Linked DNA regions of Tamandua tetradactyla. Each later gene encodes a partner of the first gene's protein in a complex. Links are inferred from orthologs where the notes say so. Each region holds a gene or a part of one and is shown on either strand. Other genes may lie near its edges. The genes, in order: EID3, NSMCE2, NSMCE1 and NSMCE3.

Evidence for each region.
Region 2: EID3 (region 1) and NSMCE2 share a complex: the UniProt entries of both Homo sapiens proteins name them as parts of the SMC5-SMC6 complex. The link is inferred for Tamandua tetradactyla from reciprocal best matches to the Homo sapiens genes EID3 and NSMCE2.
Region 3: EID3 (region 1) and NSMCE1 share a complex: the UniProt entries of both Homo sapiens proteins name them as parts of the SMC5-SMC6 complex. The link is inferred for Tamandua tetradactyla from reciprocal best matches to the Homo sapiens genes EID3 and NSMCE1.
Region 4: EID3 (region 1) and NSMCE3 share a complex: the UniProt entries of both Homo sapiens proteins name them as parts of the SMC5-SMC6 complex. The link is inferred for Tamandua tetradactyla from reciprocal best matches to the Homo sapiens genes EID3 and NSMCE3.

What each region holds. Positions count from the first base shown.
Region 1 is NC_135333.1:174,450,087-174,457,403, reverse strand, and holds EID3 (EP300-interacting inhibitor of differentiation 3), read right to left. Parts: upstream 3,018-7,317; 5' UTR 2,906-3,017; coding exon 1,817-2,905; 3' UTR 436-1,816; downstream 1-435. UniProt on the Homo sapiens protein: Tissue-specific component of the SMC5-SMC6 complex, a complex involved in repair of DNA double-strand breaks by homologous recombination.
Region 2 is NC_135332.1:169,607,741-169,615,755, reverse strand, and holds the start of NSMCE2 (E3 SUMO-protein ligase NSE2), read right to left. Parts: upstream 3,015-8,015; 5' UTR 2,882-3,014; intron 1-2,881. UniProt on the Homo sapiens protein: E3 SUMO-protein ligase component of the SMC5-SMC6 complex, a complex involved in DNA double-strand break repair by homologous recombination. Is not be required for the stability of the complex.
Region 3 is NC_135349.1:26,270,584-26,278,455, forward strand, and holds the start of NSMCE1 (non-structural maintenance of chromosomes element 1 homolog), read left to right. Parts: upstream 1-4,861; 5' UTR 4,862-4,884; intron 4,885-5,474; exon of another isoform or gene 5,475-5,682; intron 5,683-5,969; exon of another isoform or gene 5,970-6,066; intron 6,067-7,872. UniProt on the Homo sapiens protein: RING-type zinc finger-containing E3 ubiquitin ligase that assembles with melanoma antigen protein (MAGE) to catalyze the direct transfer of ubiquitin from E2 ubiquitin-conjugating enzyme to a specific substrate.
Region 4 is NC_135338.1:81,819,760-81,826,732, reverse strand, and holds NSMCE3 (non-structural maintenance of chromosomes element 3 homolog), read left to right. Parts: upstream 1-5,018; 5' UTR 5,019-5,158; coding exon 5,159-6,016; 3' UTR 6,017-6,471; downstream 6,472-6,973. UniProt on the Homo sapiens protein: Component of the SMC5-SMC6 complex, a complex involved in repair of DNA double-strand breaks by homologous recombination. The complex may promote sister chromatid homologous recombination by recruiting the SMC1-SMC3 cohesin complex to double-strand breaks.

The DNA.
Region 1 (7,317 bases):
AAGCATGGTCTTTTTGCTATTCTAAGAGTACCTTTTCCCCAAACAGGAGGTCTCTGGAAAATCTAAGGAATTAGGTTGGTAAAGACATAAAGTGAGGATTGGTAAAACAATGATGCATCTATGACTGTTAAATCAAAGGCTGACGAGACCAGGAAGCATTAGCTCCTTCACATGAGGAAAAGGAAGGAATGACTACTTCAGGAACAATTGGCAGACATTCATGACTAAGTTCAATTCTTGCTAAAAATCTCCACTATTTTTGGTGAAGAGCCCCACCTCTTCCTCCCCCACCACACACACACACACACACACACACACACACACACACACACACACACACACACACGACATTCCCCCCTAACCCACCCACTTTAACCTTGATGTCATTCATTTAATCTTTGGATTTTCCTTCCTTGTACCAGATTGAACTCAGAATAGTTTTAAAAGTTTATTGTCTTTGCTATGCATAAGAGATATTTACACACTTGTCAACTAATTAATAGACAAATGATAAAAAGTTACAACTACCAAATATTGCGTTCCTACAGAGATAAGGGAAAGAAGCTTACTGCATGCTCACTGTACCTTCAAAAAATGGTGTTTTTTTTTTTGAACACTTTTGAAAATTGCACTAAGAATCAAAATTTCGGCAACAATCTCCAAACAAGGGTGTAACTTATATTCTTAAACAACTGCAAAAAACAAACAACAAAAAGTCTCTACGGCTTTATGCTAAAGAACATTGAAATAAATCATGTATTTTAAATTAAACAAAAGTCTTTAAATCCAGGCATTTAGAATTCTATAAAGAAATGCATATTTGAATTGGAACAAATACTCCAGGCTCTTACATGATGAAACATCACTAACTCTAAAAGGCATGTTGTTTACAAGCAGATATTACAACGAGAAAAACTTGCTATCAGGGAAGAAATTACCAAAAAGATAAAGCCTATAACTGGATGGTAAAAAATTTTGTCTGAAGAAACGTGAAAAAAATATTTATTCTATAAATAAATAACTGGGGATACTAGTGTATGACGGTATTTATTTTTTGTCCAGTTCAACAAAATAAAATGGAAGTTTCCTAGAAATTGTATAGTTCTTCTGTGCCATAACTTCTCACACTTTCATGTGTTTGCCCTGTTTCCCTGCCTGCAATGCAGGCTTTCCCATCTTCTGTGACTAATTCCTTGTCACCTTTCAGCACTTGGTTGACACCTTCCCTCCTGTAGCAGAGATAAGATACTCTACTTTTGTTGAGTCTGGTCACAGGAGAAATTGTTTACCCACTTAGAGATCTTACTGTATCCTCCTCTGCAATGAAGCATGTTAACTGAATTTTTAGCCCTAAGGCTGCATATTAACTGCCTTTCTTGACCACTCATTTTTTTCACCAACTGTCCCCCCAACCTAATAAGAAACCCCTGATGTTCCCCAGAGCTCCTAGTAATGGAAGCAAAGCAGGTTATGAGAGCATCTGCATCTGTATTACCCAATACTTTTTAATTTATTAATCAATTATTTTATTAATTTTTTAAAAGCACAACTTATTTTAACTAGTATAGTCTTAAAGTGTATTTAACATTTTTTCCCATTAAAATACCTGTGACTTTTCTTTCATAAGATCATGACAATCTTTTAAGCTACCAAGAAAAATACACTAGAGAGTAAAACAATTTCTAATGTTCTTGAAAAAAAAGTTTCCCACTTTACAAGAGACAAAGTATGTTCTTCTATTTGGATTTTACTTTCTCCATTTTCAGATATTTAAGAAAAAACAAAAACGCATTTATGCTAAGCACAAAAATCTTTACTACGAGTTTGTGATCATAGCCTCTGAAATTTCAAAAGCTGCCACAATATTTTTCCAGTCCTGTAAACTCAAAGATATAACTCCTTGTTTCCTGCCATTGGAACTGCAATTGTTTCCTTTCCTAGTTTCATCAATATTAACTGGCTCTAATATTGGCAACCTGTCTTGGTCAAGCCTTATTCTTGCAAAACCATCCCTTATAATGAAAGAAACATAAAATATATTCTCCACAGTACGAGAAAAAGAGTTTGGATCAATCACAAATTCAAAATAGGACACAGGACTATCAGGATATTTTCGAAAGTAGGTTTGCAACAATCCCAAGATTCTTTCTACTTCTTTTTCTGTCGCTTCTTGATTACTACTAGGGTCCAACTTCCTCAGCTTTGTCGGCATATCTCTGTTTTCTTCCATTTTGTGAGATTTTTTCTGGTGTTCAGGACGTGGTTTCCGTGCAGAAGACTCATGCTTGAAAGAGCCAAAGATGAAGTGGAACGTCTCAGCTTGCAAGAGCCAGGTTGCTGCTTCCTTCTGCACCGTCTCCCAAAAGTGAACAGCCAAAGAAGCATCACAACCATCCAGCTCATCACGCTCATCACCCGCCATCCAGTTTAGGCCCACAAACATAAACAGACGGTCACAAAACGCTACTTGGTTAAAAAAGCTCGCATTAGAGTTTAACTGCTTTGCTTTTTCTTTACCCAGATCAGAAGCCAACACAAGAAACTGCGCGTCGAGGGCCGCTTCTCTCGTCCGGCTCACTCCATCGAACAGGACGTTGGCTTCTTCGAGGGCCTCGGTTAAGGACTCGCTCGCCGTGTTGACTATGTCGTCGCGATTCTGCTGCACGCTATAGATGAGCTGCCGGTACTGCCTGCGGATGCGCCGACATTTCTCCTCGTCATCCGCAAGCCCCAGGAGCTGGGGATCGACGTCTGCGTCCCCGGAGCTGGGGTCGTCAGAGTCGCTAGAAGGCCCCGCCGCCTCCTCCACCTTCCTCGACTCCGCCGCCGGCTTCACGGCGGGCTCACGCCCGGGCTTCTGTCTCTTCTCTTCGCCAGCTCTCGGGGAACCTTCTTCATCACACATGCCTCCAGCCACCGCCCTCGGCTGGGCGCCTCCCCGACGTTTCCCCCGCCGCGCACGCCGAAGCCGGCAGAAGCCAGAGGCCGCGCGCCTCCGCGCCTCAGCGGCCGGCCCAGCACCGCCCATGCGCACTTGGCGGCCGGCCCGTCCCCGCCCATGCGCACTAGCGGCCGGCTGGGCCCCGCCTCCGCGCTAGCGACAGGCCGCGGCCGCACGCCACGCAACAATGGGCACTTGAAAAACACCTGCTCAAGGGACAGGTGTTGGCTCAGCGCTTCCTGACAATGTCACTCAATTTGTAAAGACATGCTACGGCAAACTCAGGGGGGAAAGGTCCCACTCTTTAAAACATTCGCCGCGATACAGTGCAGTTAGGCCGACCTACATTTTTCTTTCTCGCGATGAAAAGGTCCTTTTTTTGAGAACCCGAAAGTCTGGTTAGATTATAAAATGCTCGCGGGGCAACGATAATGAAATGCACACCCCAATTATAGAGGCCAACTCTCCAGGATCAAACGCAAGGTGGACGCTGGGAACTCGTTCCCGGGGGCCGGGGAAGGGCGGGCGCGCGGGCGCGCACTCGCGAGGGGCCCCCGGCTCCCCACGCCGAGCGGAAGGCTACCGCGGGCCGCGAGCGCGCTCACGGGGACTGGGCCGCCAGGGTCGCCTGCGCGGCGAAGAGGCCTGGGGCCCGGACTCGTCGGGCCACGAAGGCGAACGCCGGGACCCGCCGCGACCCTGCGGGAGGCTCGCCCGCTAGTTCAGCGAAGCGGCTGGAAACTCGCTTCCGGCTGGAGAGGGCCGGTCAGTCCCGAGCACCCAGGCACAGGGAAGGGATTAACACTCGCTCTCAGCCCACGCCATCGAAAGCGCTTACTAACCACCACAGGTGCCGCTAGGGGGCTGAAGAAAAAAGGCGACCCACCACACCTGCCAATCATGGGCTTCAGGGGCCAGGAAGTCAATTAACCCGTAACTTCCTTCCTCTGCAGACTGGTTCATTTTTCTTAGGTAGTAGCATAACGTTTCATACGAATGCAGGAACAGCAAAACCAACTATTAAGTTACTCCAAAATCCTTATGATGCCACTCTTTGTCCACAATTATTTTAAGTAGGAGTAATTCAGAAAGATGTGTTTTTCGAAAACAACATGCATCATAGTTACCTGTGCATATACATTCTCCTCTGCATTAGCATCTCAAAAGCAAAGACTTGGTTTTAAACCTCCCAAACACAGCCGTTTTCACATAAAGGCACTCAAGCATGCACTGAATGAATAAATGAATGTAGATTAAAAACTTTGATCCAGCACCTATTGGAAGTTATTTGGCAGAAAAGATCAAATTCACAGATTAGTATAGGTCATTTATCCTACACACTGAAAGTAAAATCTGACTTCTTTTATAAAAAGTCAACCTCAGCTACACAGCCACTTCCCGGTTTCATGGTTTTCGATTGTTTGGGCGCCAATTTCTCTAAATACTAACCCACAGGAATTAGTGATTTTTGAAGCACATTATAATTGTTCCCACTTATAGGGGATGCCTGACAAAGCAAATGTGTCCAAGAAAAAATCTCAAGTTAAAAAGAAATCCAAAAAGAAAAACTGATGAAGAAATGGAGTTATCAGAGAAAGAGGGTAGAAACACCCTCTTAAACACCTTAAAGAGGGTTTAAAAACACCCAAATCATCTCTCTCCAGATGGAAAAACAAAGCATACTAATCTGAAACAGATAAAGATAACATCCAACAAGAGAAAAACCTGGCAACGTCTTTCAAGGAGTAGCAGAAAGTATTTACAATCTATGATGGAGTCAGTAATAATAGCAATTTGAGTAACAATATTAAAGAAAACAAACAAATCCAGTATCATCTCAACTGTCTGAAGAAAAGATTGCTACAACTGTGTGAAACAGAAAAATTTAACAGTGTCAAGTCTACTGAAAATGGAAAGGGCATAGCACAGTGCTAATGAAGAAGGTCTGGCAATATTGCAGGAAGAAACAGATAAAATAGTGGAGACCACAGAGTCAATGAGAACATTCAAAGCCTCAAAAGCAAACTTCACATTCTGACAAATGAGATGGAAGGAGAGGAGGAGAAGGTAAAACAGATGTTTCAAATGGATAGTAGTGAAGTACTCTCTCTTCCAGAGCTTTCTCAGAACAGTCTCAAAGCACCAGTACTTGAGAAAGAAATTTTGATGCTGATTCCAAACCAGAATGCTCTTCTGAAGGACTGGGATGTTCTTCACAATTCATCCCAGATGAAGGACATACTAACTTTTTCACTGAAGAAGCCTATAAGAGACTGGATGCCTCTTAACAAGTTTTTATTTATATGAGATTGTTTCATCTTAATTTAAACTTTATGAATATATAAAACTATTACCTTACAAATGATATTTCAGAGGCTCGGGCTTAAATTACATGCACTTTAAAATTAGCCTGTGCAGATCTACCATAAGCATCTAGTATAGTCCTGGAGACTCTGTTTTAGCAACTGGCAAGCCTGGAAAATCACATTTATTTATTATACTGCTGCATCTCTGGTTATTTCCCTGGAACCAGAAAATAAGAACGGCCACAATCTGTTAGTTAGTAATGGCAGAATGGAGGTCATTTATTGCTTAGTGCAGATAAGATATGATGCTATGAGTTAATATATGTAGTCTTTGCATGATACCTAGTACCTAGTTTACTCTCGCTAATATCATTTACCTGATATCTTGCAGTTTGTTGTCTGGTCATCAAGATGTTGAGAAATCCCCAAATGCCTTTAATCTTCTATAGAACTCCCTAGTCTTTTTGTAGTGTTAAGATTTGAGAGGTGCCTTTCACTGTGTTGGTAGCATCTACATTGTATTTTTTTATTGCATTAGTGAATAAATGTTGAATTTATTCTCCATTGTGATCAAAGGATGCTTTTATTTAAGAAAACTATTAAAAAGGAATTCCTAAGCAAGTTTATTCTCTTTAGTGACCCCTTTAAACACAGATCAAACAAAAAACCCTTCTTTCTAAACCATTTTTTCCTCACTGTGATAAGCATATGTATATATGTGTATCTAAATTATCACTCAACTATATAAAACAATTATTTCTAACCAAAAAAAAAAAAGTCAACCTCATGCCCTTTCTGGAAAACAGGGAAAATGAGACAATAACAAATTTGGGAATCAGGATCATTTTAAAGAGCCATGTTTTCCCCATGTCTGGCAATTACAAAATAAAATTTAAACCTATTTTAAATCTTAGGTGAAAACATACAGTTAATAATTCCAAGACCCAAAATGCAGAAAAGTTTGCTACTAGATGACCATATTCTTGGGAGTGAGGATTCTATCCTTCTGATAATTTATCTTCAATAAAAGCAGTTTATGAAAGCTCTCCAAAAGACAAGCACGAGGTATTTATTTTCTCCTGTGCTCAGAGGAAGGAAAATTTGCTTCACACACCAATTTGCTTCAAACACAGTCTTTCATCTGAAAATGTCAAAATGTTTCAGAAAAATATATAACTCCCCCAACCTACTTATAAAGTATTAGTAATTCCATTTACAGTGATTTCTCAGGAGATAACAACCCACACAACTCTCACAGAGGCACAGAACACATCAAGGCAAGCAGTATATGAATCAATTTTGACGTCCAGTACTTTCATTCTATGCTGGTCCTGTATCCAAGAACCTTAGTAAAATGTAATTTAAATCATCTTCAGAAAATCATACTTGCATTACTGACTGCAAATACAGCACATGATTTCAGACACTGCTACAAAGTAAAACAATTTCAAGTCTAGAGATTTCCTCATAGTCACAAAGAAATAGATTTCTACCCTTGTGAATTTCAAAATCACTACTAAATGGCTTAAATCTTCTCTATAATGCTCACCATTTTTACCTTCTTGACAGTTTGCCTATAAGCTGTTTACAAATAAACAATAATTTATCTTTTGCAGAAAATAGGACATTACCTAAACAGTAACAACTTCAGGTGCAACCTAAAGATTGCCTCACATTACTTACATGAACTGTGCTCATTTTCCTATGTTCTCTTCTGATCCTGACTCATATGCACTCACTTTTTGGTATAAACATCTTAACTTCCTACCACCAGCAATTTACATTCTGCCCTTTTTAAACTTCTATCAGATATAAAGGTCTGGTTTTATAATGAAAATGTGCAACGATATCAAAGTATGTATACATGAAAACAAGGACAAAATCATTAAAATGAAGTTATACTAGTGTTAAAGAATTAGTTTTATTTTTTCAAAAGATGTCCTATTTGTTGATATGTGATCTTTTACATATTAATAAACATTTTTCCCCAAAGAATCAACAAGTAGTTGTGATTTTCTAACCTATGGTCCAATTTCTACAAGTATTTAAATGCAGCCTAAAAAGGAAGCA
Region 2 (8,015 bases), on another chromosome or scaffold:
AAGCCCCTACTCTGACTGGTGGACCAGAGTGATGTTTTGGGCCCCCTGGAATTAATGTCACTCCTGAACCAGTGTCTAATAATCCCCAAAATATCTGATCATTTCCTTTTCCCCAATGTACAGTTACCCTGGCAAAAGACCATTGGTCTCCTTGGGGAAGGCTTGGAGGAAGATTAACAGTATAAATTTGTGGCAATGTAACAGGGTCCTCTCCTCCCCCAAAGGGACCTGGCTTCCCCTTCATTCAAGGGGCTCTGGGTCGTAAACTGTCTCAATTAAGGGGCCATGACTCTCTGTTTTTGTGATTTAAGGTGGGCTTTTGTTCACTTGACCTAGAACTCTTTTGCTTATATAGCTCAAACACGAATTTAGTAGACTGACATCTATTGTACTTCTAGGTACCCCATGATCTACTAGCCAACGCCACAAGTCTGCAAATCAGATTATTTTGACTCCTGCTTTGAGTCTGCTGTCCATTATGATAGCCAGGTCCACCTTGTCTTTGACGATTAAGTGCTGCCATCTGGCTTCTGCCAACTTGGGATCCGATCATCCCCACTGTGTTTAAGGATTCCAGCTCAGTGACAGCATTTTCCACAGTAATATCTGACCTATAGAGAAGGACAACTACAGAGCTCTTCAGGGATGATGGAGCTAGTCTCATAAATTTATTTCTCACAGTTTTGATAAAAGGTGCAACCTCTGGACATTCCTGGGGTTGTATAAGCAGGCTTTCCATGATAAATCTACTCTAATATTCCAATCTCTCTAAGCCGTTGGATTCCCTCATCTACATTATACCAGGGCAGTTCTGGCATTTCAACTTCAGGTAATATTGGCCACCTTTTGATCCATGTTTCAGTCAACCATCCAGACAAACTGTTAATGCCTTTTCTAACCCCTAGAACTGTAACACTGAATGCTTAGTGGGCTCATTTCAATAAATTCAGCCTGATCCAGTTTTATATTCCTCCTACCATTATCCCACACCCTTAAAATCCATTGCCACACATATTCCTCTGGTTCTGTTTATATAAATTGGGAAACTCACAGAGTTCTTTTGGAGTATAACGTACTTCCTTATGGGTGACACTTTGTACCTCACCCTTTGGGGCCTGTTGGGACTTTAGATTTAGGTTTGGAAGAAATGACGGCGTTGGGGGTGGGGGTCATTGAAAAGAATTAGAAATATCTTCCAAGACAATTGCTTCAGGGCATTCATTTGCAGTTTCATCTGGTGAAACATGATTAATCACTCTAGGGTTAATACCTCCAGGTGGAGGCTGAGTGGCCAACTCCTCAGGGAAGGCTGGAGGTGGGGCAGCTAAGTCCTCAAGGCAGACTATTATAGGGTTATGTAGAAAAGATCAGCACAATCTGGGGTTTCAACCTGTCTACTGACATCAAAATCAATCCATATGTTGCCATTCCATTTTTCAGGGTCCCACCCCTTTCCAATCAATGCCCTCATTTTAATGACAGACAGCATGCAAGATTGGGATTTCCGTTTAAATTGTAAAGTTGCTTCTCTAAGAATAAGATTCTGAGTCTAATTTTTGGAGAGTTCATGTTTGTGGCTACAGGAAATAAAAGTTTTCTTCAAAGCACTCATAGAAACATTTATATCTGTCATATAGCACGTAAGCTTCTCATTTGAAGCTCATCCCTTTCCCTCATTAATGTATACAACCAGCCAAGATTTCTACACCTTCTGTTTCCACAAAACTCCATAAAGGTGTCAAAAACATCCCTCACAGCCTGGCTTCACACAAACGAAGCATTAGAAGAATCCAGTGGTGATATTTTGACTATCTCTTTTGCCAACAAGCCCCATGGATTGGCAGTGTCATTCTGACTATGGGAAACAGAGTCCTTAGTATCTTTGAGTCAACACTGAGAAATCCTGGTTTAAACCAACCTCCTTTTGTAGCCTTCCCTCCTTATTCCCTGTAGTACGGTCTCCAAGAAAACTTAGATCAAGGATATGCATTTCCTGTGCTCTTCCCTAGCATGTTATTTTGCGTCCCCTAACAAGCCTGTAAGATGCTCTGTAGACAGTGCCAATTATAAGCCAATGCAAACATAAAAATACTTCTCTATTGCTTCTTCCCCTTATTTTTCCATACAACACACTGCTAGGCACAGAATAAACACTTCGTAGACATTCTGTTGACCTCTAAATACATGGGAGCTTCGTAAAAATTCAGTTAAAGATCGTATCCTTTATCAAGATGCAAGGATGCATCCTTCTCTTATCCATACAAAGCAACTGCTTGTTTCCTCCCCGAAGCTAGCACTATATTATCACACACTCATCTATTATAAAACTTATCGCAACTATTTGCTCACGTCTGCCACTTCTTCGCCCTGGGAACTCCTTATACTAGAACCCTAACACATTCTAGAGCACATAAAATAGGCCCTCACACAAAATAGGCGAGCAATACATCAAATAATGGCAACAACAACAACCATCACCATTTCTTGGTCGCTTACAGTTTGTCATAAACTGATGCGGAGGACTTCACTCTCATCATCGCTAGTCCTCACAATTCACATAAGAGAAAAGGACACTGAGGCCCGGAGAGTTTATTTATTTAAACGACTTGCCCAAGGTCCTACTTTCAAACACAGTTCAAACAAAATCTGTTTGAATAAAAAGTTCGCGATCTTTTCTCCAAACACATAGGGCTGAAGGATAGAGAGATGACTTCTCGGACAAGAAGGTAAACTGACCTCCCCCCCCCCCCCGCCCCCGACGCTGTGACGTGAAAAGAACCAGCACCACATCCACGGTCGCCAGACCCCCAGCTCGAAGCGCGCGCACTACAGAAGGCGACAACTCCCGCCACCCTCTCCATCGCAACCCCCCACGTCTTACCTGCCTGCCAGATCGGTCTTCGTCTGGCTGCACCCTAACTTTCCACTCCTGGACCCCAATGCCCTGCTAACTCCCTTCTACTGTCGTTGAAACGGCGAGCGCGGGTTTCTACGTCATCAACAGTCGCCAACAAGGGATCACATGACATTCCTCCCGGCTCTCCGTCCTTTTGGTCATGTGACGGTCATGGGGCGGAAGCCTGGGCCCAACGGCTTACAGACGGGTTTGGGGATTGAGGGGGACCCGCGGGACAGATAGGCAGGGGACAGGGGTGCCGGCTCCTCGTCCGACCACTTACCCCGCTCGTGCGCTACTGGCGTGGCCCCGGTGACAGGTAAGTCGGGCCCGGTGCCGGCGCCTCCTCCCTGCATGTTTCCCCTTTTCCTGCCTTTGCCCCCGAATTGGGCCTCGCAGGTCAAAGGGAGATCTGCGGCATCCGGTGGGGTCTGTCTGGAGTGAGGGCGCTGGGTCCGAGGATTTAGTGGCTTCCTGGGACTGGGTATTCCAGGCTCTACTTCTACACTTAGATGGAAACAATTTTGCACACCCTTTTGGCGCTTGAGGAAGCGATGTTCACCTGCTTGGCCCGCATCAGATCTTCCCGACTTTCTGGGAGCGCTGCTGTGCACATCGTTATTCCTGTATTTACTGTCGAGAAACGGTGGTTGGGGTAGGCTTTTACAGTGTGATAGACGGGGTTTGAATTCTAGTTCTGCTGTGGACTCAGTTTGGGCAAGTCTTTGTTCCTCTCTGCACCTTAATTTCCTCCCCTGTGACATGGTGGTACCAAAGCCCCTTTGCATTTGGGGGAAAAAAAAATTCCGCGAGTCCTGATTCTCCTATGGAACATAGTAAAAATAAAAAGTGACAGACCCAGTAATGGAAATAGATCTCCTGATTCCAAGCGCGTTGTGTTCTCCAGCTTTGGTGATGGGCAAGTAGAAAGGAGGAAGAAGTTTCACTGCCTCTGGCCACAGGGACACCTTTCCCAGTTTTCTTTCACCTGTCTTTCCCAGGATTCGTGAATTGGACTAGAATGATCAGGCTCACTTCACAACTTTTCTGGAAGAGATAATGCGCTATTTGCTTTTATCTGGTCAACAACCATTTTATTGTGTTCCTGATAATGGATCTGTGCTTCCTCCTTTTGAAGCTGAGGTTTTATGAAATGACAAAAATAGACCTATCTTCCTTTGTCCTCTGAATAGGTTAAGCAGTGGTTTTTCCCAGGACAACTTAATTTCCTTCAGAAATTTGACTCTGTATTCATTAGATTATAGCTGTGATGATGACAAACTTCACTTTTGAAAGCATGCTGTCTTTCTAGGGTTACTTTCCAAACTGATAATCATTGCTCCATGCCAGTTTCCTAAAATAAAGTTACACCCCCTTTTTGGGGGGGGGGGGTGACTTGTAAAAGGAAAGAGGAAAACAAGAGGAATTTTTGGTTCTCTTTTATGCTAATAGTGTTATGATCTAATTGAGAAAACTGATCTATGAGTTTTCTTTGTCCCTAGCACCGTGAGAATCTCTCAAAGGACAGTTCAGGATAGCTTTTTCTACAATATTTATTTGCACATCCCTGTAGTGATTTTTTTTAAAAAAGATTAACGAAGTCTTACACTTTCTGTAAAGCCTCCTACCTCTGAAATCACTGCAAGGTGATGAGGCAACTTTATTGATGACTCAGGTTTTGTTCTTCAAGTCCAGTTTTCAGCCAAAATAGGACTATTTACCAAATATCTTAACCTAATATTCTTGCAAATTAACCAGGTAATCAATCCAGGTTAGGAGGTTTAGTACATAATAAAGTAACTAAGGAGTTTACTTCTTTCAGTTAATGTTGGTTTTCACTTGTTACATCCTTAAAAATTTAGCAAGAGAGAAGGAAATAGAAAGATGCAAGTGCTCTTCCTGAGTTGAAATGGATTGCTGTCAGTGGGTTCATTTCACTACAAGTGCCTGAAATGTAAGGTGTATCTTGCTTTTACATTAAAAAATTCAACTTAAAACTTAGTTTTAAATTAAAACTTACTTTTTAAATTAAACATTAGAGAAAGAAATTATCCTAGGTATTTAAAATCCATAACATTTTTTTCGCTATTGCCAGTCATGTTTAATTTTTTTCCTATTCTCTTTCTAATTCCTTTTGGAAGTTGTCTACAGTGCAATTTTGGGGCAAAGGCATAAGGATTAAATAAGAGATTAATTGTTTTATGTCATTATTCCATGCCTAATCTTTCCTGAAGTTGTGCTTGAAGATGCCTCGTGTGTTTATCTGTTTTTGTTGGGAAGGAGTAGGAAAGAAGGCAGGTAATGTTGCTGTGCTTTAAGTGGTTTTATCCAGGGCACCATTTTCTGCTCTATCTTAGTATTCAAAATTTAGAGCAGTTGGACCTGTTAACCATAGCTTGCCCTGCTCTGGAGAGTCTAGAGTTTAATCCTGTTGAGACAGCAGTGTTAGTTTGGTGGTCTTCAGAGAGCCTCAGTATATAGCTATTTCACTTATTGTCCTTTATTTCTTCCCCACTTCTTCTCTCATTTCCCAAGCAAGACCTTATTTTTGCAGAAAATTAAGTGTTCATTTTCAAAGTGATCTGAACTTCAGCCTGTTAGAGATCAATGTGGTTTAACAGGCAAGTACAGAGAAAACTAAAAGGATTTGTTAATAGTTTATATCTTTATATGTATTATAGGATGCCCTCACAAGAGGAAACTCTAGACAACTGTTGTGGCTTCTCATTGCTCCTTGCTCTCATTCCAACCCCATACACCTCCCCTGATCTCTGCTTCTGTCCTTGCTTACTGGGCTCCAGCCATATCAACACCTTTCTCTTCCTTAAGCACATTTAGCACATTCCTGTCCTGGGGCTTTGTACTTACTTGTAATGTCTGCTTGGAATGCCCTTCTCCTGATAGTTATATATTGCTGCATAACATGTAATACCAAGATATAGTGGCTTATGGCAAACATTTCTTGTCTGCCAATTTCTATGGTCAGACATCTAGGATGTGCTTAGCTAGCTGCCTGGCTCAGGGTCTCTCCTAAGGTTGCTGTCAGTCTCTGAGGAGAGGCTCAACTAGGGCTAAAGAGATCCACTTCCAAGCTCTCTCACTCTTGGTTGCTGACAGGCTCAGCTTCTAGTCACCTGTACCACCCTACAGGGCTCAGTCACAACATGGCAACATGCTTACCCCAGGGCAAGCAAGCCAGAAGCCATAGTCTTTTTGTAATCTAATCTCAGAAGTAATTTATCCCTTATTCTGTTCTCACTCAAATATTTTTGGCCAACAGTTTCTATCAGGGTCAGTCTTTGTCTTCACTAGTCATTCTTCGTAATTGGTACTCTGAACATTGGATGGCAGTCAGGCTTTCTGCAAACTCTGCAGCACAGGCTCCACCAGCTCTAAGTATTGGGGTGGGAGCACTCTCCCTGAATGTTGAAGCTCCAAGCATGCCTTCTCCAAGACTGGGGGCAGATGGTGTGCCTCCTCCAAGGGCAGAGGTGGGTTCACCCTTTTTGCTCATGAATGGGTGGGCCTGCTTGTTGTTTCAAGGAGATCTGTTTGTTCCAGACCTTTGCTTCCATTGTTCAATCCTGGAAGTCATTCTTCTTTCAATTTGTGCCTTCTCGTTCCCTTTCAGTCCAGCTGGCAATCGTTCTCCTCATACAGATTTTGCAAAAAAATTTGTTGGCTTAATATGCAGCTATATGGGCTTCAAACCATCAGGCAAAATAGAACTTTCCAAAGATAATTCAAGGATAACTGCCATTTCCAGTCTTGACTTCCATTAAAATGGCTTACTGAATCTGTGTTCAACCATACCTTCATTAGCAAAGGGTTGTTCATTTAAACTTTTACAAGGGCCCTGAAGGCTTACTTTCTGGAAACTCATGGAGGTTTCTGATAGTGCCACTTCTGGCCCTCGTTTAGAAGACACTATCTGGACAGCCTCAGTGTTTTCCAAACCATCAATTTATTGTTTCGTTGGGCTTCAGAGTTCAGTTCTTAGCTTATCCCTTTCCTCTCGCTTTTTATTATAAACTGTAAGTAGAAGCCCAGTTGTATCTTCCACATTTAGCTTGGAAATCTCCTCAGCTAAATGTTCATGTTTTCACTTATAAGTTCTACTTTCAGTCTGACATCAGAATACAATTTTGCCTGGTTCTCTGCCACTTTGTAACACTATATCACCTTTCTTCTAATCTCCAGTAGCACATTCATCATTTCCTTTTAAGACCTCTTCAGAAATACCTTTAACATCCACCTTTAAACCAACGTTCTGTTCATGATGAATATGTATTCTCTAAGACAATATTTCCTTTACCTACAGCCTCTAACCATTACCCAATTCCAAAGCCGTTTCCACATTTTTAATTATTTATAATAGCAACACCCCACTTTTCGGTACCAAAAACTGTTTTGTTTCCCAGCTTCTAAAATAATACCTACATTAGTTAGGGTTCTCTAGAGAAACAGAATCAACAGGGAACACTTGCAAATATAAAATTTATGAAAGTATCTCACATGACCGTGGGAACGCAGAGTCCAAAATCTTCAGGGCTGGCTGTGAAGCTGATGACTCGGATGGAGGGTCTGGATGAACTCCACAGGAGAGGCTCACCAGCCAAAGCAGGAATAGATTCTGTCTCTTTTGAATCCTCCTTAAAAGGCTTCCGGTGATTAGATTAAGCATCATTCATTGCAGAGGACACTCCCCTTTGGCTGATTACAGATGGAATCAGCTGTGGATGCAGCTGATGTGATCATGATCTAATTCCATGAAATGTCCTCATTGCAACAGATAGGCCAGTACTTGCCCAACCAAACAGATAGGTACCACAACTTGGCCAAGTTGACACGTGAACCTGACCATGACAATACCATACAATAGGCTGGCTTAACAACAAGAATTTATTGGCTCACAGTTTCAGAGTCTAGAAGGATTACTTCCTCCCAGAGTCTGTACCTTCTGGCTATCTGGCAATCTTTGGGGTTCCGTGGCTCTTCCATCACATGGCAATGCATGTGATGTTGTCTTCTCCTTTCTCTTCTGGATTCCATTGACTTACAGCTCCTCCCCATGGCTTCTCTTTCTATGTCCAAATTCCTTTGCTTATAAGTCTTTATA
Region 3 (7,872 bases), on another chromosome or scaffold:
TTTGGTATTTTTTAAAAAATAAAAAATTAATAAAAAAAAAGATTAACTAGCCTTATAGTATGTGTTGGATAGCATTCTCTATTTTGTTTATAGTTTAGTGCTATTTGCATAATGCAACTTGTCTTTTTTTTTTTTTTCTTTTGAACGCTCCTACAAAATTACTTGGCCTGGGTATTTTGGAAGTTGGAACAAATCTCTTTCTACAATGTCATTTTTATTTATGATTTATGGTTTGTTATTTTAGTCAAGTTTTGTAATTTCTATTTTCTCAAAAATTGCCTCAATTTTCTACTGTACTGGCATAAAGTTGTTCATAGTACATTCTTTTGCTTTTTAATATTTTTATTCTGCTATATCCTCTTTGCCATTTAAAATATTGTATTTGTTTCATTTCTTAATTTTATGAAGTTTGTCTATTATATTAGTCTTTAACAAAAACATGAGCTTTTGCTTTCCAAAAGCAGCTTTATTTTCTTTTTTACTAATTTCTGTTTTTATATCCTTCTTTCTGCTGTTCTCTGGGTTTATAAGTTGTTATTTTCTACCTCTTAAGTTGCACACTTAGCTCCTTCAGATTTTTTTCTTGTTTTGCAATAATCATGCTTAAGGCTATAAATTCCCCTATAATCATTGCTTTAGCTATATCCTAGAAGTTTTATGTCAGGCCTTTATTGTCATTCATTTCTAAATATTTGTATTTTCCATATTGGTCTTTTTTTTTTAAATCAATATGTATTTTTCAGTTTCCAAATGTATGTGGTTTTTCTTTTAAAAATGTATTATGAGGGGTAAGGCTGACGTTGTATTTTAGAACTTCACCTACTCTTTGAGACCAAAGGAAGAAAGGTTTATTTTGTCCACAACCTAAATTTTCTTTAGCACATAATCTAACTCAACCTGTTTGGATAGATCATTTAAACAATCCAAAAACAGGGAGCCCAGATTAAGAATGAGAGCCTTCAATCCTGTATAGCTTAGTGTAATGCCTGGATACATCCCAGAGTATATTAAGCAGATAATCAAAAAGTATTGTCAAAGTAGAGAAAAAATATGGAACTATTAAACTTTACCAACAGGGAGACCCCAGATCCTGTGTCAAACGTTAGGGACACCCAAATTAATAGGTCAAACCCTTAATCTTGAGGCTTGCTCTTGTGAAGCTTATGTATGTAGTGGAGAAGCTTAGCCTACCTGTAGGTATGCCTAAGAGTCATCTCCAGAGGACCTCTTTTGTTGCTCAGATGTGGTCTCTCTCTCTCTCTCAGCCCAACTCTGTAAGTAAAACCATTGCCTTCCCCTCTATGAGGGACATGACATCCAGGGGTGCAAGTCTCCCTGATGGCATGGAAGATGATTCCCAGGGATGAGTCAGGCCCTGGCACTCTGGGACCAACAATTCCATCCTGACTAAAATGGGGAAAAGTAGTGTAACAAATAAGGTAACAGTGGCTGAGGGAGTTCAGAGTTGAGAGGCTACTTTGGAGGTCACTATTATGCAAGCTTCAGTTAGACATTGTTATGTATCATAACTTGCCAAACCCCAACCAAAACCATTCCTGCCAATCCTAAAGAATACCTAGGGCATTATATAAGACTCTACAAAGGTTCCATGTACTAGGGTAACTTTCCAGAAACATATAACCTTCAGAAGTGTCCCTGAACAAGGTAAGTCCGAAATGCAGAGGCGCCAGCCTCTCCAGAACATCAACTATTTCCACCCCCTATATCATATTACCAACATCCCCTTCCAACATGAAAAAGTTAGAATGGGCATAGCCCAAATACCCCTAAAGAGTGGGTGAAAGATCAAAGGTGATAGTGGATTTATACAGAGAAAGTAGGGTTTCGCAAATGAGTATGAGTGCTAAATCATTATATTGATATTTCTTTTAGTCTCCCTTTGAGCAGCTAGAAGTAAAAACCTAAAATTGTAATTGTAACCCAAACAAAGACTCTGAAATCTTATTCTACAACTAATTGTTGTGATATGCTTTGAAATTTACTGCTCTTTTGTATATATGTTATTTTTACAAAAAAGAAAAAAGAGGAGGAGGAGTATAACAGAAAAGACAGGATTTAACAAACGAGTATGACTGCTGAATCATTATATTGATATTTCTTTTGGTTTCCAGTGTCTCGGAGTAGCTAGAAGAAAAAACTAAAAATTGTAGAACTGTAACCCATATCGAACTTTAAAATCTGTTCTATAACAACTTGTTAAAACGTACTTGGAAATTTATTGCTTTTTTGTATATATGTTATATTCCACAATTAAAAAACATTAAAAATGTATCAAAATCTTTAAAAATACAAAATGTATAAAAATTAATATAATGAATGTTCATTTATATATTCATGTTCTTATCACGCAGCTTAAGAAATAAAACCCAAATATGAGCTTATAATTTAAAATTTTATTTTTCATATATAATAGCTGTACACAGTTAAAAAATTTTCTATCTCCCTGGCCCTCTTCTCAGAAGTAACTGCAGTTACTAATTTAGGTGTATTCTATATATTATATGGATTGTTTTGTGGCTCTCTTTTTGTCGTTGATTTTTAATTTTGCTGCACTATGGTTAGTGAACATGGTGTATAGATTCTTTGAATTTATTGAGACTTCCCTTATGGCCCAGTACGTAACCAATTTCAGTAAAGGTTCCAAATATATTTGAAAAGAACAAATAAATCTAAGTTCTTTCTCTAAAACAGAAATCTGACCTTGTCACTTCCATTCTGATAGCTTCTTTAGTCTTCAGGTGAAAAACTAAGCCCCCTGATTATTTGATTTGGCTCCAAGCTTCCTCTCTCGCCAAGGTCTCAGTTACCTCCCTTGTGTAGAACAAATTTAGGTACACAAAGCTCTCTAAAATATCATACCTTTTCAGATCAACTTTCGGAACAATATTTGAACCATCAGTGCTGTCCAGTAACAGGCAGTCTAATCAAAGTACATTAAAAGTCCTGATAAATACCTCCTTGAACCAGATAGACAGTAGACTATCTTCTTAGGGTAGAGTTATATTGAGGCCAGATACTTGCCCTGTGGTAGTCACTGTTATCGTGAACTCCAGTTCTTGTTTACTACTTGCTCCTACTGAACCTGATCCACCTCACTGAGATCCTTGGTTGTTGAACCCCTTCCCTTACTTCTGATTTGTCAGCATTTTCCCTCACTCACATCTGTGCCTGCCTGTACCATGGTGGACCACTTCAAAGATACTCCTATCACCACCCCAAGTTGCTTTGCCTTCTAGAGTCAGCAGCATATGCCCAGCCCAGATCCACTCCACAATGGATCCAATCTAAGCTCCTACTCTGAGGCCTCTAGAATGGTGATAGAAGATTGAAGGAGGGGATCAAATAACCAACTGTCATCTCTATATTATAATTTATGGTTTCAACCACAGCTGGACTCTCACTTTCACATTCCCCTTGGCATCTGCTCTAAACCTTTTGACCCCCTCCATCCCCTGGCATCTCCCCAGCTTTTTTATTCAGCAGAATGATACTGTTTGCTACTTGTAGAGAAAACAGGAAGACATCAGGGATGACCCTCTATTTAACCATTTTCACTTCCTTCCCTCTTGCTTCAGAAGTTTTTCTATTCCTCTCTGGGGCAATCCTGCCTGATTTATTCTATTGATGTCCCTCTCTGCTCCTGAGTCTTCAGCCTTCCCTTCCTAAAACATACTTCCTAAAAGTGTACTCCTCATTTCTTCTGCACTTCCTCAACCATTCATTCAAGGGGTCTGATCTAGTGTCCTCCCTTCTCTTTCTCTCTCTCTCTTTTTTTTTTTTTTTGGCATGGGTAGGCACCTCCCTTCTCTTTTGAGACTGCTCTCATTGGGTAACAGATTCTAAACCTGGTGGAACATCTTTCTGACTCCTCTGAGCATACCTTCTTTCTCAAAACTTTCTCTTAATCTATGTGGCTCTGATACCACTCAGTTTTGAATCCCTTCTCTTTCTACCTCCTTTGCTCCTTTGCTTGGCTCTTTACTTTGAAGTGTTGATGTTCTCCAGCATTTTCTGTTCTTGGTCCTCAACTTTTATTTCTACACATCAGGAAAGCACATGCTTGATCACATAGAGGGTTAGTCTCTACCCAGATCTGAACAAGTGCTGCCACGGTAGAATACTGACCCAGTGTGCCAGGTTTCCCATTTCTCAAGAGTGGTCAGACATTCCAGTATTTTATGTAAGATGCCTCAACTTTTAAATAATGATAATGGATCGAACATTTTACATAATACTTTGCAGGGCAAACAAAACTTGGATGTTACTCTTGAGGGTTATTTTCTTCTCTTATTCAACTGCTATTAAAGCAGTTTATAAAATACTTTTTATTAGTAATGGTGGCTCACACTTATTGAGTACGTACTATGTCCCAGACATTCCTTTAAGTGGCTTGCATGTATTAACTGCATAATCTCGAATTTTTATTTAATCTTCACAAGAACATTACCAACAAGGTAATTATCCTTGATTTACAGATGGGCCAACTGAGGCAGAGAGGTGGAGAATTTTGTCCTGGGTCTCAGAGGTTTCGAGTTTAAGAACCAGGATTCACATTCAGGAGGTCCCAAAGCTCAAGATTTTAACCAATTTTCTGCTTTTCCCCATCAACAGATAAGGAAATCGAGGCCCAAAGAGGTTAAGTCGTTTTCCCAAATCACACCTGTGGTAAATGGCCAAGTAGGTATTTGAACCTATCATCACAAAGTTAGCTACTTGCACTCACTTCTGTTCTATAATTACCTATGTCTCCTCCTCTCACACTAGGAACCGGCATACCAACGTTTGTAGAATGTTTCTTGGATACTCGAAACATCCATTGGCTTCCGTTGAATGATTTCATTTACTCCACAGGACAATCCCTAGGTAAGATAATAGCCAACATTTAATCAGCACTTCCACCATGTGACATTTTCCAGGTGATATGTTAAGTACTCAATATGCATGATCTCTCAGAAACACTATTTCGTAGGGCCTATTTTATCTCTATTTAACGGAACAAGACACTAAGGCTCAGAGTGGCTCCGTGACTTGCCCAAGATCCCGCAACTAATAAAAGCGGCAGAGCCACGATTCTAGCTCAGGTTATATGACAACAAAGCTCAGGCTATATGACAACAAAGCCCTCATTCTCAGCCATGAGCTCACACTGTCAGTTCTACAGATACGGACACTGAGGCCCGGGACAGGGCACTAGCTTGTGCCCGCAGGATCGCGGGCACTGGAGAGCACAGGCTGCACTCCTGTCCTCCTCTTCTTCGCTCGGGCAGTGCCACTGCAGCTCAAGAGGCAGAGGCGATAAGCGGGAAGCTCCATACTCTACGGTACTGAGCGCTGCCTAGGAAGCTCGCTTCTCCGGCGCGCGCGCACGTTTGAGGCCTACTGGGACCTTAACCGAGAGAGACCGGAGCACCATGGCAACGGCGCGAGAGGCAGAACAGGAAGTACGTCAGCACGTGGGCGGGGAGCATCTGCCGGTGACGGCCAATGAGAGTGCCGCGTTCGCCTTCGCCCCGCCCCGAGGGAGGACTCCTGTTCATTTTCGGCCATCACAGCCGGCTCAGTCTGGGCGGTCGTTGAGTGTCGTGGCGGGTAATTCGGGGCGCTGGGACTGGAGGCAGACGGGGTCGAACGGAGTTTGGGAAGGCGAGGGGAGCGTGGAAGGTGGGGGTCGGCCAGGCAAGAAGTGGGATCAGGCCCGGGCTCGGCCTCTGTGTGGTGAACGGGGGACCGGGGAGGGCTTGGGACTACTCTTCCCTATTTTTTGATGGGGAAACTGAGTCCAGAGAGGGGGCACCCGCGCAGGAACACCCCCAAACTTTTAAATCATAATATTAGGTGAAAACGATATTTAATTGTAGTATTAGTTAAGAAAAAAAGCGAAATACAAAATTCTCTTTAAGCTGACTACATCAATGGAAAATACGGCCTTTGTTGACCACCCCTCTCAGTTTATTTCGCAGACCTCTGACTAGAGCTTCTTTGTATAAGTCCCCATACCCGAGGCTAGATGTGTCCAGAGTACAGAATTTCTCGGGCTTTAGAAAGGTAATATGCTGCATATACTGTCATACCCTTAGCGGGGTCTAGGACAGGGTCCTGTGATTAAATACATTGATAACTACACAGGTGGTTAATGGTTAATGTGCGTGTTTACCCAAAGGGGGATCAATAACGGCCATAGGGGGATCAATAACGGCCATAAATAGACCCGCCTCAGATCAGGTCCGGTTTTCAAACTGAATAAAAAACTTTGGTTTTCAGACCTTTTTAGATGTGGGAGTTGCAAATAAGGGACATGGATCACAGTTCTGTTTTCTCGCTAACGTGAACTGGGAGCGCCTTGAGAACAGGAATGTGCTTTTGTGTCCCCATCCTCTATCTCTCTGTCTCTCACTCACTGTGTCGCTTTAATGCCTCTCTCAGCCTCAGTTTCCTCAGCTCTAAATGGGGACAGTAATGCTTTCTTCATCAGGTCCTGGTGAGAATTAAATGAGACCACGCAAATGAAGCACTCCTACTGTGTGTAACACTTGGCTCAGATGGTTAGGATTGAGATTTACTTCTTTCTAAAGCGTTATTTGGGTGGGTGTTACACATCCATGGTTAAAACCGGAGCCCCCTCTCCCTAGTCTATCTTCACAGAAGCAACTGACGTTATGTGTTAAAAACAAGCATATCAATATTTATGCCCCTTTTCCAGCCCTACTTCCCCACCTCTTTTTGGCCAAATTATAACATACTACACTGTGCAGTACTTTGTTCTTCTCATCATCTTTTCTTTTGGCTGGCACTGAACATATTTAGATCTTTTTTTTTTCTTTTGTAACATACCTATTAAAAATGTGTGAAATGTAAGTTTGAAGGGCAGGAGTGAAATGAGACCCATATACCCACCATTAAGTTAAAAAATAGAACATTAATCAGATCCTCAAGGTCTCCACTGAATCCTTTTACTCCCTTCCCCAAAGATAACTGCTACCCTGAGTAATGTGTTACCCATTCCCTTGGTTTTCTTTGTAGTTTTTACTATCTGTGTAAGCATTTCTAATGAATTGAGTGTGCGGTTTTCTAATTTTTGGATCCTAATGTGTATTTCATATGACTTGCTTCTTGCTTGTAATATTTCATTTTTGTGATGCATCCTTTGTTGATGTTTGTTGCTCTACATCATTCATCTTCACTACTGTATTGAACTTCATGATATGATTATAATATACTTTACAAAGCTGTTCTGTTGATGGGCATTTGTATTGTTGCCAGAGTTTGGCTATTACATAGTGCTTCTAAAAATGTCTCCTGGGAGAGTGTGGGAATGTTTCTGTAAGGTTTTATACTTGTAAGTGGATTTGTGGAGCAATTCACATTTGCTAGTAATATCACATTGTTTCCTGAAGTGGTTGTAAGAGTTTATATTCCTACCCTCTGTGGATCAACCATATTTTTAAATATTTTTCTATCTGGTGGTGGGTTAGATATTATTTTGTTGTGGTTTTAATATTCATTTGCATGATGACTTGAAATTGAGTATCTTTTGAATGCATTTATTAATCATTTCTGTGAAATTTATTTTGCCCATTTTCCTCTTAACATCTTTCTCATATGGAATTATAGGAGTTCTTTATATATTCTGGATATGAATGTTTTGCGGCTTATATGTATTTCAAATGCCTTTCAGTTTGCCTTTTTCTTTTGTGTTTCTGGTGAGCAGAGGTTCTTAATTGTAATGAAGTCAAATTTATCAGTCTATTCTTTTATGGTTTGTATTCTTTGTGTCTTTATAGAAAATCTTTCCCTACCCTTCAGTCATAAAGGTATATTGTCATTTGCTTTTCTCATGAATTTAATTCCCCC
Region 4 (6,973 bases), on another chromosome or scaffold:
TGGGGATTAGGTCATATGTACAGTCTGTATGAAAAAGCACAGCCATTCATGATCTCTCTCCTGCCTTTATTGCCAGCTACTTAAAAGGTACATAAGCACTTCCTCAACCACAGAACACTGCCAAGAAACTTAAAAATTATTTTGTATTCAGATCAATTTAATTACATACAAGTGTGCTTACAGGTAATATTTACCTTGTCCAGCTCCATTTATGTGAAATAAATTCTCATTCCATAGTATACTTTTTCTCCCTACCTAATTGGTTTGGATACCAATTTAGCCACAAATTTTTCAGTTTCAAGTAAGAGGAATCAACTCTATGCAGTTTAAGCAAAAGGAGATTTTACTAGCTCCAGTAACTAGTTATCCTTACAGTCCAACCTTGAACTCTGGATCCAGAGATTCAGATGGCAGCATGAGAAATGTCTCTTCATCTATTAGGTCCTCTTTGAGTTAGCTTTGGAATTTTCTAATAGAACTTAATCATTTTCTTAAGAAGAGCTTTTTGTACTAAATGGTTACAATGCTTTTGGAAAGCAATAATCTAGCCCCAACGCCCCATCCCTTCCACCAGCCAAGGAAAGCTCTGCTTCTGTTTAGAAATGCTTAATTTCATGACGGGCAAAATGTTATTAGGCAGTTTATCATGTCATCTAAGTAGGAAGGATCTTTGCTACAAATAGTAAGCACAAACAAGAGATTGTATTGCCAACATTAAAATATTTGTATTGTTTTCCCTATTTACCCACTAAAATAATCTTTGTCCCCAAGTCCCTTGTTCATATGCTCCATGTTTGTTGTTCCACTTTCTTTCACTGGAAAAGTCAGGGAAGTTGCTCACATATGATAGCCACATACTTATTTTTGCATGGGCAAGCACCCGCATGGCAGGTGACAACTTTGCCTGCTGAGCCACCATGGCCTGCCCCTATTATATGATTTTATCATTGCCTTTCTTCCCCCAAAAGTCCTCACCTACTTTTAGCACTAGGTTGCCTGTTAGAAAAGTTAAAACCTTTCTTGGATCCTGTGAGAAATACCAGCGAATGATGAGGAAAATTCTGTAGAGAATAAGGATGAGTACTTTCTTAGCAGGCATTTGCTACCAAGGAGATGAAATAAAGCATTTAATTAGAGACCTCTAAAGAATTATTGGTGGTAGGTATTTCTTTGTTCAATGCATTTGAAATCTTACCTAGCTTAGTTTTTGCCTCAAAGTATGAAGATTATTAGCAGAAAGTGTTTGAAAATGTATTTCTTTTTTAACATCTCTTTCCTTCACTACCTAAACAAAAAGTCACAAATGACATTCAAACCACATCAAACTGACTGAAAATTTGAATGTGTATAACTGTTATGGCATGATGTCAAGAAAAGTTAAGCTTTGTTGAGAATATATTTACATTTATTTCCCAAGCAAGACAACCTATATTGAATTTATTTTTAAGAGAAAATAATTTTAATAGGAACTTGTTTTTCCCAGACGTTTTTTGATTTTTGTATGAGCACATTTTTAACTGTAGTATCTTTCTCTATATCACTTTGTGTAACCCTCAAATATGTATTGACTACACTGCCAGGCTGTCCTTGGTGCTTGGCAGACCTTTCTTACTTAGTTCCCAAGGCCAGGATCAGAACTCTAAATCTGGAGTATCAGTAGCTTTCTGAATGTCTTAAATGTTTCTAATCTAGGACCATCTGATTCCAAAGCCCTTACTCTTGCAAAGACACCAGGTGTGTTTTCTGCATATCAACATATGGTTAAGAGCACAGGCTCTGGAAGCAGACTGCCTAATTCAGATCCCAGATCCCGGATCTACCACTTAATTGCTGTGGGGCTGCAAACCCCTTATATATCTTCTCTGGGCCTCAGTTTCTTCATTTGTGAGAAGAGGAATACAATAAACGCACATGCCTTATATATTTGTTGCAAAATTAAATGAAGTAATACATGTAAATCACTTGGAATAAGGTCTGATCCAGTTACTTTTGAATTATCATTAGCCATTGTTGTTCTTCATATTTATTATTACTGTGCTGGCTTGAAAGGAAGTATGCCCCCTAAGAAAAGCCATGTTTTAATATAAATCCCATTTCATAAAGGTAGAATAATCTCTATTCAATACTGTATGTTTGAAACTGTAATGAGATTATCTCCCTGGATGATGTGCTTTAGTCAAGAGTGGTTGTTAAACTGGATTAGGGGATGACATGTCTCCACCCATTTGAGTGGGTCTTGATTAGTTTCTGAAGTCCTATAAAAGAGGAGAATGAGAGAGTCAGAGAGCAGAGAATGCTGCAGCACCACGAAGCAGAGTCCACCAGCCAGCGACCTTTGGAGATGAAGAAGGAAAATGCCTCCCGGGGAGCTTCATGAAACAGGAAGCCAGGGGACAAAGCTAGCAGGTGACACCGTATTCGCCATGTGCCCTTCCAGCCGAGAAAGAAGCCCTGACTGTGTTCGCCATGTGCCATCTCACTTGAGAGAGAGACCCTGAACTTCATTGGCCTTCTTGAACCAAGGTATCTTTCCCTGGATGCCTTTGATTGGACATTTCTATAGACTTGTTTTAATTGGGACATTTTCTTGGCCTTAGAACTGTAAACTAGCAACTTATTAAATTCCCCTTTTAAAAAGCCATTCCATTTCTGGTATATTGCATTCTGGCAGCTAACAAACTAGAACAATTACCATTCTCTATATTTATTATTGTGATGATGATTATTATCACCACTGTCATCACAATTTGTTCCCACACATCCATGGTTTCCCATGTCAGTCTGAGGTGGAATGTTGGCTTGGGTTACTCTCTATGCACTGCTTAAAATTCTAACACTATTTGATGCTTGTATTTTCCCACCTGCATTCTTCTAGACAGTGTAGAGCTTGTTTTGTTTGTTTTAATTAGAGATGTGGGCTTAAAGAAAAATCAGGCATAAAATCAGGGTTCCCATGTACCACCCTATTATTAACACCTTGAATTTGTTACAATTCAAAGAATGTTTTTATAATTGTACTATTAACTATAGTCCATCATATACAACACGGTTCACTATGTTATATAACTTTGTTTTTGTTTTAATTTTCATTCCAGTAACATATACACAAACTCCAAATTTCCCCCCTCAACCACATTCAAATATATAAGACTTAAAATCTACTACCTTTTCTCATCCATTTTAAGTAATAAAGATTTGCTGCCTGGGTAAGGATGCTACTGAAGGACCCTGCTGATTTTCACAAGGTCACAGGGGAGTCAGATGGATGGGGCTGCTTGGTAATTTAAATAAAACTTATTAAAAAACACTGAAACCCCAGACTAGTTGTTGAAAATGGCTTTCAACTTTTTATTTTCCATTGTTCCTTTATCTTTTTATTGGTGACATTTTTAAACTTAAGGTACAACTGATCATTCTGTGGAGACCTTTTGCAGAATTCTAGATAGACTGCAGGAGTTTTTTGAACTTGAGTCTGAATTTTAATTTCCAAGTAAATTTTGAAGATTTTTTTTTTCTTGTAAAAAAAAAATGAAGGCATTAATGATGTATTTATTTTTCTTGGTGGTGGGTCTTTCATTAAAGTGAGGATATGTTATTGTGCCTTGTGTAAAACAAAGTTGTTACTCCATGCTTACCAGATTTGTAGCATACTTGTATCACAACATGGAATACCTTTTATACTTAATATTGCAGTTCCAATGCTGTTATCAAATTTCATTTTCATACTGAATTACAAACAAAAAGTCTATGCTAACATTTAATGAAATTTTAATAAGGTTGTTATTTTGAGGTTATTATTCAAATATATTCTGAATTGCTTTCCTTTGAATATATTTTGCATTAAAGAAGAACTCAGTTTGATTTAGATTTTTGTACAGTTTACCCACTTTATAGAGTAGCTTCAAAAAGGCAAAGAGGGGAAATTCATTTTCTTTTGCGAGGTGGTATGATTTTAATTAAGTAATAGCAGCAGACTGCTAATGGTTTAAGTTAATGAAATAGCTCTTTCGGGCTATTCGAGTTGCACAATTAAAAATATATATACAAAGTGCACATATCAAAGATTATGAGGGATAACAGCCCGGGATTCTCTTTTCTTTCTCCTTAAGCTCTAAGGCTGATCTGTATTAAGAATTAAGAAATTCCAGAGTGACATTTTTGTAATTCAGCATCTGTGGTACCCCAAATTAAATGGCAATGTCTTGAGAGAGCATGCTTCTGTTTGTACCATTCCTCTTACCCCATTCCAACTAAAATTGTGGTTGTGGGCCCAAGGCAGTGAACTTGAACCTAGGGGTTCCAAAAGATAAATTGCTTTGAGCAAGCGAAAACCTCGCATTTAAACACGCTGTACGTGGCGGTTTTGTCAGAACTGTCCAGCTGATGCAGTTTAATGTGGAAAATACAAAAACTGAAATAGTGAAAAGGAGGGGTAATTCCCGCTCGCCAAGAAAACCTACCTTCATCAAACATTTTAAAATAAACTCTTGGGGACACGAAAGTTAACTGGGCGATCATAGTTAGGGGAAGGCGTGGCGAAGGAAAGTCTGACTGTCTCCAAATAGAAGTTTTCCGGGTTTTCCTCTTTTTTAAAAAAAATCCACGTTCCCTGTAGAAATAAATGCTTTTCCTTTACTTTTTACAGTCTTCCCTTCTTCTTCACCCTGTTTTTCTCCCATATGCATCCTCTGAGTTCTCGCCACTTAGAAACAGTCCCAATGTAAAAACTCTTAATACTCACTTTCTATAGAACTTGCCTGAGCCTGTTTCAGCTTGAATCTTGCCGCATACTAGTTTAGGAGTTTCGGTGCCAGCTCTCTATTTGTATGGTTTGTTAAGGATAGCACTTAAAATGATTTAAAAACAAACAAACAAAAAAACGAGCTACAGACAGCAAGCCAACTACGCGCGCTCTTCTCTCCCGCCGACGCGCGGCATTCGCGCAGACGCCACGAACGCCACGCCCAAGTTCCGCCAACGTAACAAGAGTTTTCAGTGACGTAAGGCGCGCCCCTCTGGCCCCGCCCCGGGACGTGCCTTGCGCAGGCCCAGATGTGACGTAGCGTGCCTCGCGTCTCCGGCGGCTTCCGCGATCCTGCTGCGGTCCGTTACCGCGAGCGGAGTTCGAGCCGGCGCCGGGAGTCCACCGCCGAATGACATGCTGCAGAAGCCGAGGATCCGGGGCCGTCCTGGCAGCCAGGCCGAGAGGGAAAGGGACTCGGGCCACGGCGGGGAGGAGGCTCCGAGTACCTCTCGCGGCACAGGCAGCTCGCAGGAGACTCTGAGCGCCTCGCCCAGGGGCACCCACGCCAGTCAGGCCACCCCTGCGGTGGGGCCCCGCACGCAGAAGCAGCTAGAGCTGAAGGTGGCCGAGTTGGTGCAGTTCCTGCTGATTAAAGACCAGAAGAAGATTCCGATCAAGCGTACCGAAATCCTGAAGCATGTCGTCGGAGACTACAAGGACATCTTCTCTGACCTCCTCAAGCTCGCCGCCGAGCGCCTCGAGTACGTCTTCGGGTACAGGCTGGTGGAACTCGAGCCCAAGAGCAACAGCTACATCCTCATCAACACCCTGGAGCCGGTGGAGGAGGATGCGGAGGTGCGGGGCGACCAGGGCACGCCCACCACGGGCCTCCTAATGATCGTTTTAGGGCTTATCTTTATGAAGGGCAACACCATCAAGGAGACTGAGGTCTGGGACTTTCTTCGTCGCTTAGGGGTGTACCCCACAAAGAAGCATTTGATTTTCGGGGACCCAAAGAAACTCATCACCGAAGAGTTCGTAAGGCAGCGTTACTTGGAGTACCGGCGGATTCCGCACACTGACCCCATAGACTATGAGTTCCAGTGGGGCCCGCGTACCAGTCTGGAAACCAGCAAGATGAAGGTGCTTAAGTTTGTGGCCAAAGTCCATAACCAAGACCCCAAGGACTGGCCAGCACAGTACTGTGAGGCTTTAGCAGAAGAGGCTGGTAGGGCCAGACCTGAGTCCGGTGGTCCGGCCCCCTCCTCTTGAAATCATACACAGATTTTTGGAGACTTCCCGGGGGAAGGGCCTCGGGCCCAAAGGCTGGTGCTGAGGGACGGGGGGAGAGGGGACAGTGGGCCATCTTTCGTAGCACTTGGAAGTATGTTAACTTTAGGATTTGTTTGCAAAGTTTTGTACCTTTAACATTCTTAATTATTTGATTCCAAGTCGACACATACCAAAGAGAAGGATGTGGTCGTCGTGAGGTTGTTTTGATATGCTTTATTTGTCTGTATTTTTTGGTATAAAACTTTTGCCAGCTTTGTGAAAGTAACTGGGGAACTGCACCATAATCCGGAACAGACTTGTAAGAAAGAACACATCGGTGAATTGTTTGTTTGTTTTTTGTCCCAAGAAAATAAAAGCAAAATGGCTATTATCTGGCTTCATAACTACCCCAGTTTGTAAAGAAAAATAAGTGTCTTTATAAATTGAAAATGAAATGTAATTGCCGGTGTATCCTTTTTTGCTTTAACACAGCTGTTTTATTGTTATATATTTTCCTCTTATAGAATACATTTTGAATGGTTCCAACTAGTGTACATAATTTATTTTCTCCGAATAGCAATTTTTAAAATCTTACTATATAATCATACTTATTACTCAGTTCTGTTGCTGACCATTTTATTTTTCCTTTTTGTGGTTTTAGTTATAATCAGTAATGTATTTTTGAAGCAGTTAAGCATTGTATGTTTTTTCAATCGTGGGTCATGAGAAGTTGTGACTCAAAACCACCACCTTAAAAAAAAGGAAAAGATAGTTCGTGCTACTTTATATAATATCATAAGTAGTGTTTTTTAGAAGTTGTTTCACTTTTATTTGTGTGTTTATATTGGGTCGTGATGTAAAACATTTTTTGCTGCAGCTCTCCCAAAAGTTTATGAAACAGTGGCTTATTAATGAACCATGCTTGCTTGGGAATCAGACTGCTTAGATGCATATCCT